Linked DNA regions of Drosophila melanogaster. The protein of the gene in region 1 interacts with the protein of each later gene in a pairwise test. Each region holds a gene or a part of one and is shown on either strand. Other genes may lie near its edges.

What was found.
Region 2: the proteins of CG2129 (region 1) and CG13151 interact in a two-hybrid assay, tested with the Drosophila melanogaster proteins (one large-scale study listed by BioGRID).
Region 3: the proteins of CG2129 (region 1) and Ptx1 interact in a two-hybrid assay, tested with the Drosophila melanogaster proteins (one large-scale study listed by BioGRID).

What each region holds. Positions count from the first base shown.
Region 1 is NC_004354.4:8,144,040-8,148,473, forward strand, and holds CG2129 (uncharacterized protein), read left to right. Parts: upstream 1-1,799; 5' UTR 1,800-1,909; coding exon 1,910-3,307; 3' UTR 3,308-3,816; downstream 3,817-4,434. Other genes in the region: alpha-PheRS (Phenylalanyl-tRNA synthetase, alpha-subunit), read right to left, coding at 1-1,456; CG15336 (uncharacterized protein), read left to right, coding at 3,976-4,434.
Region 2 is NT_033778.4:12,513,601-12,518,033, forward strand, and holds CG13151 (uncharacterized protein), read left to right. Parts: upstream 1-1,774; 5' UTR 1,775-1,843; coding exon 1,844-3,658; 3' UTR 3,659-3,684; downstream 3,685-4,433. Other genes in the region: achi (achintya), read right to left, coding at 1-461, 530-644; CG8818 (uncharacterized protein), read right to left, coding at 3,804-3,988, 4,041-4,174, 4,237-4,433.
Region 3 is NT_033777.3:30,911,072-30,916,002, forward strand, and holds the start of Ptx1 (Ptx1), read left to right. Parts: upstream 1-1,682; 5' UTR 1,683-2,513; intron 2,514-4,868; 5' UTR 4,869-4,931. UniProt on the Drosophila melanogaster protein: Appears to control physiological cell functions rather than pattern formation during embryogenesis.

The DNA.
Region 1 (4,434 bases):
TCTTTAGATCCACTTTGGGTCCGACCAAATCGCGAATGTTGTTGATGCCGTACTTGATCATGGTGGGTCGCTCCAGCGACAGACCCCAGGCGATTACATTCACGTTCTCCGGCAGTCCCATGGGCAGCAGCATCTCCGGCCGGAAGACGCCCGAGTTGCCCACCTCGATCCACTTGGCCAGGCCGGGGTGATAGCAGAAGATCTCCATGCTGGGCTCGGTGTACGGATTGTACGCCGGCTTGAATTCAAGCTGCGTGATGCCCAGCTTTCTGAAGAACTCGTACAGCGTGCCAATGAGATCGCCCAGCGTCAGACCAACATCTGCAATCACGCCCTCCACCTGATGGAACTCCGCCAGATGTGTGGCGTCCAGTGTTTCGTTGCGGAACACCTTGTCGATGCTGAAGTACTTGGCTGCTTTGAAGCCGCCCTCCTGGTTGGCCAGCTTGTACAGCATCCTCGCACTCACGGCCGTCGTATGCGTGCGCAGTAGATTCTTCTGCGCCTCCTCCAGCTTCCAGTCGTAGCCGTAACCCTTCGATCCATAGCCACCCACAGAGTGCACCTTCTTCACGCGCTCCAGATAGTCCTGCGGAAACTTGTGGCTTTTGGCCGGATGATTCACGAAGAAGGTGTCGTGGGCATCGCGAGCTGGATGCTGTTGCGGCTGATAGAGCGCATCGAAGTTCCAGAATGACGATTCCACATAGTTGTTCGTAGGCATCTCTGAGAAGCCCATCTCGAGGAATATCTGCCGGAACTCAGTGCGCACTTTGAGCAAGGGATGGAGATGTCCACGCGTTGGTGGTGCACCCAACGCATCAAAGTTATAGGCCTTGAACTTGAGCTGGTCCCACAATCCATTTGCGAGCATTTCCACCGTGAGATCCGTCTCCAACTTGGTGAGAGTGGTGGCAAATTCAGGGCCGCGTGCCAGCACGAAGCTCTTGGTGGTCGTTTCCTGGAGGAGCTTGCGTTTCTTGAAGTCGGCCACCTCCTTGGCAGGCAGCTGGTCACCCTTTCCCAGCGCCACCTGCTGCAGTTGATTGCGCACCACATCCGTAATGGTGTCCACCTTGCGGCGCACCAGCGGCGGCGTGACGCTCTTGTCCACCAAAATCCAGCCGTGCGACATGGCTTTGCTAAAGCCCACTTTGGCATTTGCGCCACCGGCTGCCATTAGAGCCGCCTGGGCGATTCCCTCCGGCGGAACTAGGTCGTAGACCAGTGCCTCATGACTGCCATTCTCCACGACGGCGCGACCCTCGTCTGTGAGGCCCAAACTCTTGTGGGTGACCGTTTCCGCGGTGACTAGTTCGCCATGCGCCTGTATGCTCTTCAATGAGCCCACAATCTTCTGGTGATCCTCGGCAAAGAGTGCGGCCAGGTCCAGTGTGTCCGCCTTGTCGGTGGTCTCCAAATGCTGGAGAATGCGCTCCGTGAGATCGGGATGCATAGCTGGCGGTTCAATGGTTGTATCTTTCAAGGAAATTCGGAATTTCAATACCGGAATCTCGTGTTGCCACAACGCAGCCTATCGGAGCTATCGTTCTTCGATAACTGCGTCTATCGTTCGAAACGACGACGGTGGCTAAAAAATAGCCAATAAGCTTAAAATAGCTATAATTATATCTAGATATTGGAAATTTGTATAAATATTTCAGCGAATAGTAAGATATGATACTTTTGTCACTAACATTTCAAAAGTAAATGAAATAATAATAAAGATGTCTCATATAAAGAACTGGTTTCAACTCGGTTTATTTTTCCGCTTACCATCACAGTGGCACCTCCAATAAAAACAGCTGTTGACGCCAAGACTAAAAGTTTGCGTTCCAATTAGAACGGCGAATATATTCGAAAAAAGGAGCAAATCCTGGGGAGCAACGGCCAGGTGGGAGCCGCAATCATGCTCAAGTCCCTCAAGCCGGACACGTACGCCGGAATGGCGAACGCCAAGTGCGGCGAGATCTACTTCCAGAGCCTGCACAGCTTCCGCATCGACTGTGCGTTCTGCGAGATGAAGAGCTTTGTGTTCGGAGACTTCCTGCTCCACGTCCAGAACATTCACTTCGAGAACGGCCTGCTGAAGACGGAGGCAACGGACGCCGGTGCGAATCTCAAGCAGGAGCGGGATCGTGAGCGGGAGCCTAACTCGCCGGTGCCCATTGTGGCGCAGGTGAATCCATTTGCCTGGTACGAGATTGGTGGCGATCACAACGAGGACAGCGACGATGAGCGCGTTGTCCTGGAAAAGCAGGATGAGGACGAAGATGAGCGGCCAGGCAGAAGCATAATCAAGTGGCAGGACCATCAGTCGCTGACCAGCGAATCTCTACGTCAAGTCCGAGCCCTCAAGGTGGACTACAAGGAGGAAGACTCCGAGCAGGAGGAGTGCGGCATGGAGCTGGATCTGGACAGCGAAGGCAGGCACTCTGCCAAGATTCCGCACTCGTGTCCGCACTGCACAAAAGTTTACCAGAGCCGCAAGGTCCTCGAACGCCACATAATGCGCCAGCACAAAGACACTCTCTCGCCGGATGTGGACAGCGAGGACGCGGACTACGAGCCGCCCAAGGATGCGCCCGTCAAGTCCGCTGCCCAGGAGTACAAGTGCGAGCACTGCGGCAAGATCTACCATGGCAAATACAGTCTGCGTCAGCATTTAAAGCGGGATCATGACAACGGCGAGGAAGGAGGCTCCGCCATCTTCACCTGCCTGGAATGCGAGGCCCAATTGCCGCGCCTGCGCCTGCTGGACGAGCACATGGTGCAGGCGCATGGCGGCGCTGCCTGTGTGGTTTGCGGGCGGCGCTACAAGACGCGACACGAACTGAAACGCCACCAGCTCAAGCACACCAGCGAACGGAACGTGCCCTGCCCGCATCCCGGCTGCGGCAAGCGCTTCTTCACCATCCGTCATATGCGCAATCACGGCAAGGTGCACACGGAGCAAAAGAACTTCGTCTGCGAGAGCTGCGGCTACAGCTGCCGGAACAAGGAGACGCTGCGCGTCCACATCAGGAGCCACACGGGCGAACGGCCGTTCGGGTGTCAAGTGTGCGACAAAAGATTCCCCTCCCATTCCGGCCTGCGAGAGCACATGGCCATGCATTCCACGGAGCGACCGCATGTGTGCAGCGTTTGCGGTGCGACCTTCTCCCGACAGAAAGGCCTCTACCACCACAAGTTCCTGCACGCGGACACCAAGCAGTTCGTGTGCAAGCTGTGCGGGAATGCCTATGCCCAGGCCGCCGGTCTCGCTGGACATATGCGCAAGCACCGGAACGACGAGCTCAACGGATAGGATCCGGATCACCGAGGTCGTAGTCTAAGTTGTACGTTTTGTATCTTCCAATTCCGACGTTTAAGTTCAGGAACTCAGGCATAGGCTATATATAGGATTACCATAGAAATCAATGGTTTTTTGCATTGCTCCGGCATGGAGCGGGTATCATGTGACTCTTCGGTCCTCGTTTCACGGGTTTCCATCGAATTTATTTGACACGCACTGTAAATAATATCCCTAGTTTTAGATAAACTGAAAGTTTGTTAATCTGTTTCGAGTGAACTTAGTTTGAGGCAAATTTAATTGGCTCGATTGTAAGTACTAAGACTAAACTACATTTCCATGAATTTTCTAAACTACCAACTCAAATAATAACTAAACTTTGTTAAGGTTTAAACTATACATTAAGCACACAATGCTTCCAAGAACCAAATCGAACGCCGTAATCTCGGCAACCGGATGTGGCTAGTATTCGAATGGTTAACTTTTTTGTATTGATAAATATACATAACATGAATTTGATTCGCAAAAGAGAGCCCGCGTTTAAAATTAGCCAAGCGATTTGGTACCTTTGACAGCAATTAATCGGTCGACTGCTGCTAAAGCGGCCAAATGCCAAGATGGTATTGGATGGGGTGCGTCTAACAATAGTGCCGACGATTAGATTTGGCACACGCGGACCGACCATGTCGGCGGAACGTCCAGCTGCCAGCTCCGATAATCGGCGACTTATGTGCGAGTTCTGCGGCTATCGGACGCGCATCTATTGGAATCTGCAGATCCATCGTCGGCGACACACCGGCGAAATGCCCTTCAGTTGCCAGCAATGCCAGGCGCGTTTCCCGGCCAGCTATCAGCTGAAAAGCCACTTGGAGCGGCACTTGGACGCCGGCGAGCGACGCCAGCGGCACATTTGCACCGACTGCAACGTGGGTTTCTCCAGTTCGCGGGCCCTGTACCATCACCGGACGCTCCACGAGGATGGGAAGCGCTTCAAGTGCTCCCAGTGCGACAAGTCGTTCGCTCAGGCGGCGGGCTACGCCCAACACAAGCGGATTCACCGCCAGAGGAACCAGCGAGCCACCGAAACCACGGATCTGAAGGATCTGCAGATCAAAAGAGTGGTTTCAAGTGTTTTTCATCGG
Region 2 (4,433 bases), on another chromosome or scaffold:
CGGCCCAGTCAAGTTTGCGCCCAACGCACTTGATCTCGAACAGTTGGGGCTAACCTTTTTGCCACGTCGCGATATGGTGAAGTGCAGAGGATCGTTGCCCTCGCGCCTGATCATCTCCGGTAGAATGCGGCGACGGGCATTGATGAACCAGTTGCACACTTGGAGCACCGTCAGATTGGCCTCCTGGGACAGGGTGAACTTCTCCGCATCGCTCGGATAGGCGTTATAGCGGTGCTCATAAAGCCAACGCTTTAAAATCTTTACAGAGGTCTTGGGAAGATTTCCACGACGTTTGCGCAGCGACCCATTTATGTCGATGTGGTGTTCACTGTCCACCATCATGTCGTGGTAGTTTTGCACCTGGTTGGCGCCGTGTTCGGTGCTCTGATCCTCCTCCACGATGACGTCAGCGTGAAGAGAATCCTGGTCCAAACTTGAGTCCGAGTGGAAACGGCCGCGTCCTGCAGATGACATGCAAAAAAAACGGGCATGAACAAGACCGAACTCGACCGAAATATAGCAAACTCACCTTCGTTCTCCAGCAGGCTCGCCTGGACATGAGCCTCGTGCATCATGTCCTGGATATTCTGCCGTACATGGCGATCCAGGACCATGTTGACCTCTTCTTGTTCCGGCGAGATCATTGCAGCTCAGACTTAAGCTTCAGAAAACAGAAAATTCATTAAAACACAACCAGAAACGGTATGCAAATATTGAAAGGAAAAGAACAGAACTTTAATTACAATTTTTTTTTTTTTACAAACAGAGAAACCTGTCACTTTTTAGTTTCTTTAGGTGTTGTCACCACAGACTTTGAGATTCAACTAACTTTTTCTGAGGGCAGGCGTCATTCAGACACCAAAGTCATGGCCAACTAAGGTTCAAATACGCATTTCAAATCGATTTTTGATTTCTTTCCAATCGGTCTACTTGCTAAATCGATTAATTTCCAAGGAACTATACATTAAACGAACGTATTACAGTAGTGAATTAAGTAAAGAAGAAATTTAAAAATATTTAAAACAAATTAAGTTGGGGCTATCTATCGATAACTATCGCACTGGCACACGAGAGACCATGACATATAACATGTCAAATTGACACTTTAACCAAAATATTTTGACAAATTCACTGCGCGCCCAAATAACGGGCGTCTTGAGCTCCCGGGGATTCACCTGCGATGTCCGAATGGGTGCCACTATCATTTATTTACACTAAACACTGGTTTTCCCAGTGTTTCAGCCAGGCCCCGGTTACTGCACTCAGCAAACTGTAGTGACGGGGCAGTCGTCACAACCGTAGTATCGAGGCCAATTAGACAAACTCTTTTTGCAGACAACGTAAATATAGTAACGAACGTTGGGGAAAGCTATTTTGGCACTGGTTTTAAAGCGTTTTATTCCTTTTCCTTGCTGCGTGCCAAACAACAAATTAGTGGCGAAAGAAATCCGATAGCCGCTTATGTGCGATAAATCATGGATGGGGGTCCACTGGGGAGTTAGTTCAGTTGGCAGGTTCATTTGAAATTTGAACAGTGGCGCCAAGAATAAATACAAGTTTTGTTAAGTATAATTTGTTTAAGAATTATAAACATACACTAGTTATCTCTACGCTGGAAATTAAATCTACATTTAAAATAAATAAGTTATATTTAGAATGTACATAATTTTTTCTAAATAGAACAAACTATTTTTTTTATAAGTTTTCAACCTTTCAAGCTTAAGATTTATGTTTTAAATGTCTTTTTCGATAACTATATAAATTATCGATATGTATAGACGTTACTGTCCTAACCTATCGACGACTGAAAAGGTTTGTTTTGTTGCAAGTTTATAAACAAACAATGGAATGCGTGCTGGACGAGGAGCTGCTGGCCAATATTAAATGTAGCGACCAGGAGGAAGAAGACGAGGATGGTGAAAAGATGGAGGTGGAGGAGCGGCTGCCGCCGGTCGATTCCACAGTCCAAAGTGCCTCCTTTAACGGAGATGACTCCGATCCGCTACAGGAAGCAGTATGCAATTTTCCCTGGATTTTCGAGGACAGCGACATGCTGATGAACGAGGACCAACTGGCTGACGTGGTGCTGAAGAAGGAGGATTCCGCCAGGCCAGCTGCCCCGAAGCGAGGACGTGGTCGTCCACCAAATAATAACGGAAACTACACATCTCCTTGTGGGCAGCTATGGAGCGTGACCAGGAGCCCAGATATTTCTGCAGAGGATCTACCCCTTTTGGGGCAACAGGCCTGTGGCAAGGGACCCGCCCGAACAGTGTCCAATGCAGTGGAAGCATGGATGCTGCTCTTCGATGATGAAATGCTGCGGTCTTTACTTCGCCATATCAATGAACAGATGCGTAAGCGGAGAACGGCCACAAGTGTCCAGAGACCCCTAGACGTTGTGGAGCTGCGGGCATTCTTGGGTCTAAGCTACCTTTGTGGAGTGTTCCGAAATGCCAGGCACAATGGGCCATTGGATGAGCTGTGGACCCTGGAGCTGGGCAATGCCATATTCCGAGCATCCATGTCGCTCGCTCGATTCGAAAGCATTTCCGAGTGTCTGGCGGGAAATTGCGGCTGGTCCGAGGGCCAAAAGCTCTGGCAGCGCCTTATAATCAATTGCAGATCCTACTACGGCTGCAGCAGTTGGTTGACCGTGGATGAGACATTCTGCGCGGTGGCCAAGTCACGGATGACCCTCTGCTGTGATGCCAGGACACTGTACATGGCCAATGCAGTGGTAAGCAGAAACCAGAGATGTCCGGACAAGGATGTAGAACAACTGATCTGCGATTTCAAGACCACGGGAAGAAATGTAACGCTGGGATCACGGTATCTAAACTTGACGCAGTGCGAGCAGTTGGCGCAGCGGCAAATAAGCTCGTTGGGTAAGCTGGAGGCCAATTCGCCACATTGGCCGCGGCAGTGGCCCACAGAATCACCCTTGTTTGGTGGCAGCTCAAAACTCATTCCGCTCGATGGCGACGCAGTCTTCTGCTGCGGTCTTAGCTCCCAAGTAGATGCAGTCCAGGCATATGAGCAAACCTCAGAAGCCTGTCAGCAGTTTTACGAACACTCCCAGCGCTTCAGCACAGCCCACGCTACGCCCGCACCCTTGAAAAAGCAGATCAATCCTTTTCTGCAACTACTTCACTTTGTGCTCAACGCGGCTGCCGTGAATGCATGGATCCTGTTACGACTTTCGCCCAAAGGCGATGCCGCTATGGATCAGCGCGACTTCCAGAGACAGTTGGGACTCTTCCTCACACAGCAGAGATTACAGCGACGCCTTCAGCGAAGATCCACCAGCACTTCGCTCGTGATGCGACTGCAAATCTGCGAAATCCTGGGCCAATCCAGTCAGCGGCTGCTCAGTGAGGCGACCGGCGAGGCGAAACTAACGCACAGCGTAGGCGTGCTAACACCCGACAAGATGAGCCTGCCCTTGGGCATTAATTTGGCTAGTCGGTACGGAGAGAAGCATCGCAGGTGCAAGCCCTGCGCTCGAAATAAGCGTGGCACTAAATCGCGGACGCGGTGCCAACAGTGCTTGCAACATCGATGCGGCAACCACTTGATATCCCGCTGCTACGAATGCGTCGGCATTTTGCCTGGCCAACTGCCCGAGGGCAACATGGTGGATGAAGGAGCCACCTGAAGATGGATATTAAATAACATTTATTGAAGAGACACTACATTCCTTGTGGGGGCTTGCAATATGGGGATGCTTGCAATATTGCTCAATGGTGCAAACACTTGTGCTGTAACTACGATGACAACGGCTTAACGATGGAAACTGGGGACTAGAACTTGTACTGGAAGGACTTGGGTGCCTTGTACTTGCTGGCCATTCCCGAAGAGTCCACAGGATCGCTCTGGTCGAGGAACAGACTGAGGAACTGTTCGTTCTGCAGCTCATTTAGCGGCATCTCTAATTCACTGCAGGATTTGACAATCTCAGCGCAGGCTCGCAGATCCTTGCGCATATCTAAAAACGAAACGGGAGTTACATAATATTCGGTTGTGTTGCACAGACTCACATTGATAGTTAAAGAGCAAGCTGAGGCAGCTGGAGCAGGCCAAACGCTGCTGGTGCTGCAAGAACGCCTCGATTAGCCGATGCACCGCATCAACATTGTTACGGGCCAGAAATGAAGAGCACAAAGAACTGGCTCTGCAAGGAAGGTTACATTGGGATTCAAATTTCGGGTTTTTAAAGAAATTAAAGCGACTTACCTCCTCTCCACTAGCTCTTGCAGCTCCTTGTAGTGCTCAAACAGTTCCGAAGCCGATTTTTGATCGCAAAACCAATCGCTAGCGAAGCATTGCTTCCACACACAGGCCACCACAAAGATGTCCTTGTGCTCGCGGTGAATGGCACGCGCTACCTCCAGCAGCGACACTAGCACCGCCTCACTCTTCTGGGCCAGAGT
Region 3 (4,931 bases), on another chromosome or scaffold:
AGATACCCGCAGCGCTGGGCCAGAAATAGACAGCCTGTCATCAATATAAAAGTCGGGGATTTGGCCAAGGGACACAAAGGACATTGTGTAATTACGCCATCGTAAAACAGAAATTCCCCGGGGTGCTGAAAGTCGGACCTTGCACCACAGGTGGAGAACCCTTTATCATCATATTGTACTGCATCATCGTCACTCAGGTGAAATTCTCCCCTCTGAGTGGGTGGATCGCTGGAGTACCAGCCAGCCCTTCTAACATTGTGCCACATTTACGTAACTGGGCAAATGTGTGACGGCGAGTTCAAAGGCGGTAAACTCGAGAAGGTCTGAGCAACTCGAGTGGCTTTAGTATTTCGAGGGCCTCCTCTCAGCGCGATTATCATTTCAAGTCTATCTGCAATCTGGGTTATGCCAGTCGCACGTTCTGAGAGGTGGCAGTAATCAACAAAAACATCACACCATGGATTGCCAAAATGAAATATATCCTACAAATATATACAATTATTAAATATATATAAGTGGGTTAGATATTATGAAGCACGTTTAACATGACAGACTGATTCCCATTCTCTACTTCATCTTGTCGAATTGATTTATTTTGTTACTATGGAATGCAGTAAACTTCCTGAGATCTCCAGAGGTCATGAGTTATGACTCGCATGGCCATTGGAAATTATGTCTGATTAGTTCCGTGGCATGTCAGTTGCGGAATACGAGGCTATAAAGCCAGCATCATTTACATCAGTCGGCTGTCTCCCGGACCATTTCCTTCAGCTTCCCCCTTTCGACCCAGCTAAACCCATTCTTCCACTCAAGGAGGAGGATAAAACCTAAGGGAAAGGCAGGCAAATGCGAAATAAAAACGAAAATTATGAACTGCACAAAAGCTGTTGTGAATATTAATAAATTCTGCCTGCTGCTTGTTTCTGTTTCTGTTTCAGTTTCAGCTTCCTTTGAAAGTATCGCTGTCTCTGTGGCTGTATTTCTGTGCTGGCAGAGCGAACAAATCAAAAAGGGGAAAGTCCCAGGGAGGAGATACAGATACAAATACAAACGCAAGGATACGTCAAAAGGAGCAGTTATTTATTTATTTGCGAGGGGCGGTCGGGGGGTTAAACTGGCACAGGCACAGGCACAACAATGGCGGGCTAACGCAGAATAATGGGATAACAAAACGCCCTTGACACCCAGTAAAAGACAGCCAGCCCTCAAAAGTGGGCAAAGTAGCCTTATTATTATGAACACAGCACGTAGCAATTGTCCAGGGGCGGAGGGCAGGGCTCTGCCAGGGGTCCTCAAAGGGGGAGAACGGAACAAAGGACCAAACCAGAGCCAAACCCGAAAGTACAAATCAAACCCTCGAGAGCGGCCAAATAATGTACGGATGAAGAGCGAGAGGGAGAGTGGGCGAGAGAGGGAGAGCACAGCAATGGCGCACTGCAAACACCAGGGTCTGAGTGAGAGAGAGCGAGAGAGTGCCGACTTTGGGGGTGTGTCTTCCACGCACTCGAATGATCGGACCTCCCTTTCGCACTGCCGCTGCACAGGCAGCTCTCGCTACTCGTCGGCCAGAAGACCATCTCCCTCACACCCTCTCGCCGGTGCACGGGCAGAAAAGAGAGATAAGATAGCGGGCAATACACGGGGCTCTTGCGTTCGAAAGGCGAAATTCCGGGGTATTGCGTTCAGTAGCCGCGAGTTCTCGTCGCCAGCACCACGTTTACCGTTAGCACTGGCCCAACCACCCCGCACAACCCCACCAGCCAGATACTCGCTGCATGCGCTGTACAGTGTACACGCATCCAACAGATACTTTTCCGAATTCGTTTTCAATCCAGCTACGTCCTGTTACGGATGCAGACGCGTCGCCTCCGTTGTGATACCAGATACATGTAATTGCAGGTCTAGAGCTACAGATTTAGATACAGAGATTCGAGTACCCTAGCAGATACTTAGCCTAATTACGCCGTGGATTAAACTATTAAACACTTAAATCCGCCAGGATTTGCCTATCAAATCAAATCGAATCGAAATCATATCACTGAGAGTGCCGCGAGTGACTGTGTGCGCGAGTGTGTGTTTCTGTGAAGCGGCAGCGAGATTAAAAACATATCCCCGAGTTACTTAAAATTAATCACTAACATAATCACTGTGATTTTTATTATTTGATCTGCCGACGTCAACACCGCGTGTGCGAAAACTGTTTAACGGCTGGGGCTTTATTAAATGCCGCTTCGCATTTGATTAGCAATCTGTTGCAACAACACAGCACAAACCTACCGATCTCCCCGAGATTTATAGCCCACTGCCCACGCGATATATCCGGAAGATTTTCGGAGACTTTCCCAGATCTCCGGCATTAGAAATGCTGGCCATCTGATTTATTGACGGACCCACGACATTTGCTCCATCAAAGTTCGCCTTTGATATTCGGGATCGACAGAACCAGAGAACCGACGGAAGTTCGTTCCCACCACCTAGTGGATTAATTTTAATTCCTCTCCCATCATTCAGAGGTGAGTCGCAGTCGCATAAAGTTAATCATAACTTAAAACTTGTTACACTGACCTCAGTGATTCTTGAGTTGCTAACGCACGAAGCAAGAAATTATAAATCAAATTTGATTTAGAAATTCAAAGATTTTAGAAATTGAATTATATAGGGATCTTTTAAAAACGAAAGTTATTATCAGCAACAACGATGTGTTAGGTCATAATAGCCAACAGAAGTTTTCCGGTAAACACCTGGCTAGGAACTTAAGCGCCCCTTAATAGCAATGTCAATTCAGCTGATGCTAGGAAAACAGCCTAGCTTTCCAGCGAGGATCAGCAGAGGTTCCCATTGAGGGCCCAGAGCAAGCCCATAAACGGCTTGTTGGACAACGAATTAAGTTTACGGCGGACTCTCACGCCGCGCATAAATCACGGCGGAGTGAGACTCGGATCCGGATTGCCGCCATAAACAGAGATCTCGGCCATTCCGTAAGGGGGCCTCTGGGCTTCTGGGCCAGTACTGTGGGTTTTGCCAAAAAAATTGGAGGAGAGCCCGGCCAAGCGGCGCTGGCTCATTGACGTCACCTGAACAATTAGCAAACAAGATGTGGAAAAAACCTAAGTACACAATGCTCGGACTCGGATCTCCGGGCAGCCGCTAAACTCGAATTTGAATAAAATAATAAAATTAAATAGAAATGAAAGCATGTGGAAAGCCTTGGCACAACATCGGAATCTTGGCACCTTCGCGACGAAGAGGCCGTAAACACACGAGATCTCGCGGCCATAAAGTGGCATAAAATAATTCTGGCATTCTTTGTCTTAGGGAATCATTATGTAAATAAATTCTCACTTTTGAAATAAAATGACGAGGCAGAAAAGCCAAAAGCTGAAAAACACACAAGAAATGGAGCGGAGAATATTCTTTGGCGAAATGGAATGGAAACAATGGCAAACTGGCAACCGAATTATTTATTAGACGCTGCGGCAGATAATTTAGCCAGAAATTGAGACAACTGCGGCAAAGACAGAGCAAATAACAGTATTATAAATATCCCCATCACGGCAATAAATGCAGAACTTTTCATTTCAACGGCTGACCCCCCCCCCCCACCCACACACACACCAACTAACCAATCGTGTGGCCCATAAATTGGCTTGAAGTGAAATTATGTTTATCACGAAAGGCTGCCTATTATTATTGCTGTTGAACAACCGCAAATGGATTTAACATTACAGCCGCACTAATCCACTGGGGATCAAGTGGAGATCAAGCGGCATTATCAGCGAAATCGAAAGTGACAGCTCAAGCCAAGGCATTCCAATTAAATTTAATTAAATTCACTTAAACACACAACTGCGAATTTATGCTGCCGCTAGATTTATGAAATTCGTTCTCGTTTCGAATGCCTTTGAATGCCTTTAGTTTGTTGTGATTGAGATTAGATAACCATTTATTGCAACGTTTCGTTTCGTTTAGTTTGGTTTCGTTAGCTCAGATAGCGGACCGCATATATAACGTATATGTACATATATGTATATGCCCATTCCCGCCCGATATCGGGCAAAGGGGCCTAGGAACCTGGAGAGGTGTTCCCTCCCTTTTTGCTAATTGATTTACGATCGTTTATGGCTATTTTCGTGCTACTGTCAGTGGGCTGTTTTTATTTTTAACGAATTTATTGGACGCCCATGGCACAGTTTATCGCACTACTGACTGTCAGTGCGGCGCTCTACTACTTCTTCGAGCTTTCCCCAATTTCGATTGCCAAAATCCAAAGGCGCCCAGTGTACGTGCAATCATAACAATAATAATAGCGGAGAAATGCTCGCAGAAATGAAAATATTTTACATCGATAAGGCTGTTATCACCTGGCCCCCGCCATCTCCGCTCCAACAGTCTGCTGATAGCAGTGTAGGCGGTTCGGGGGTGCGGTGGTGCGGTGGCTCGGTGGTGCTGTTGTCAGCCCATATGCCCCACCAGATCCCCTCAGGTGCGCTCCGCCAGCCATACGATTTACGACGCCAACTGAAAGAGTCCCAGTTTACCACTCCGTTTGCCGCCGGCTCCAGCATCCGTGGTATTAACCCCTTGACGTGTTTGGTGTTAACTTGCCATTCGGCTGGTGTTTGGGTTAAGCTCCCTGTTTGCCTTCGCCGTTGAGGCGATAAAAGGTTCCACCAGTTGATTTGCCTACCAGGTAGCCAGCCAAGCGATAATTATGTCTGAGTAGCAATGAACCCGATATGACTAACCTTAGCACAGAGCGACATCTCTGAACTAAATCTATAGTTAGTGAAACGAATTAGAAAAATTAGTGAAATACATCCCAGCTTTTCGCAGTGTTTTAATGACATACCCCGCCTGATCTTTTCCAGCTTTTCGGGCTCTGGCAACGGCTGCATCTTGGATTTGCTTTCACCACAGTTGGAAGATACCGG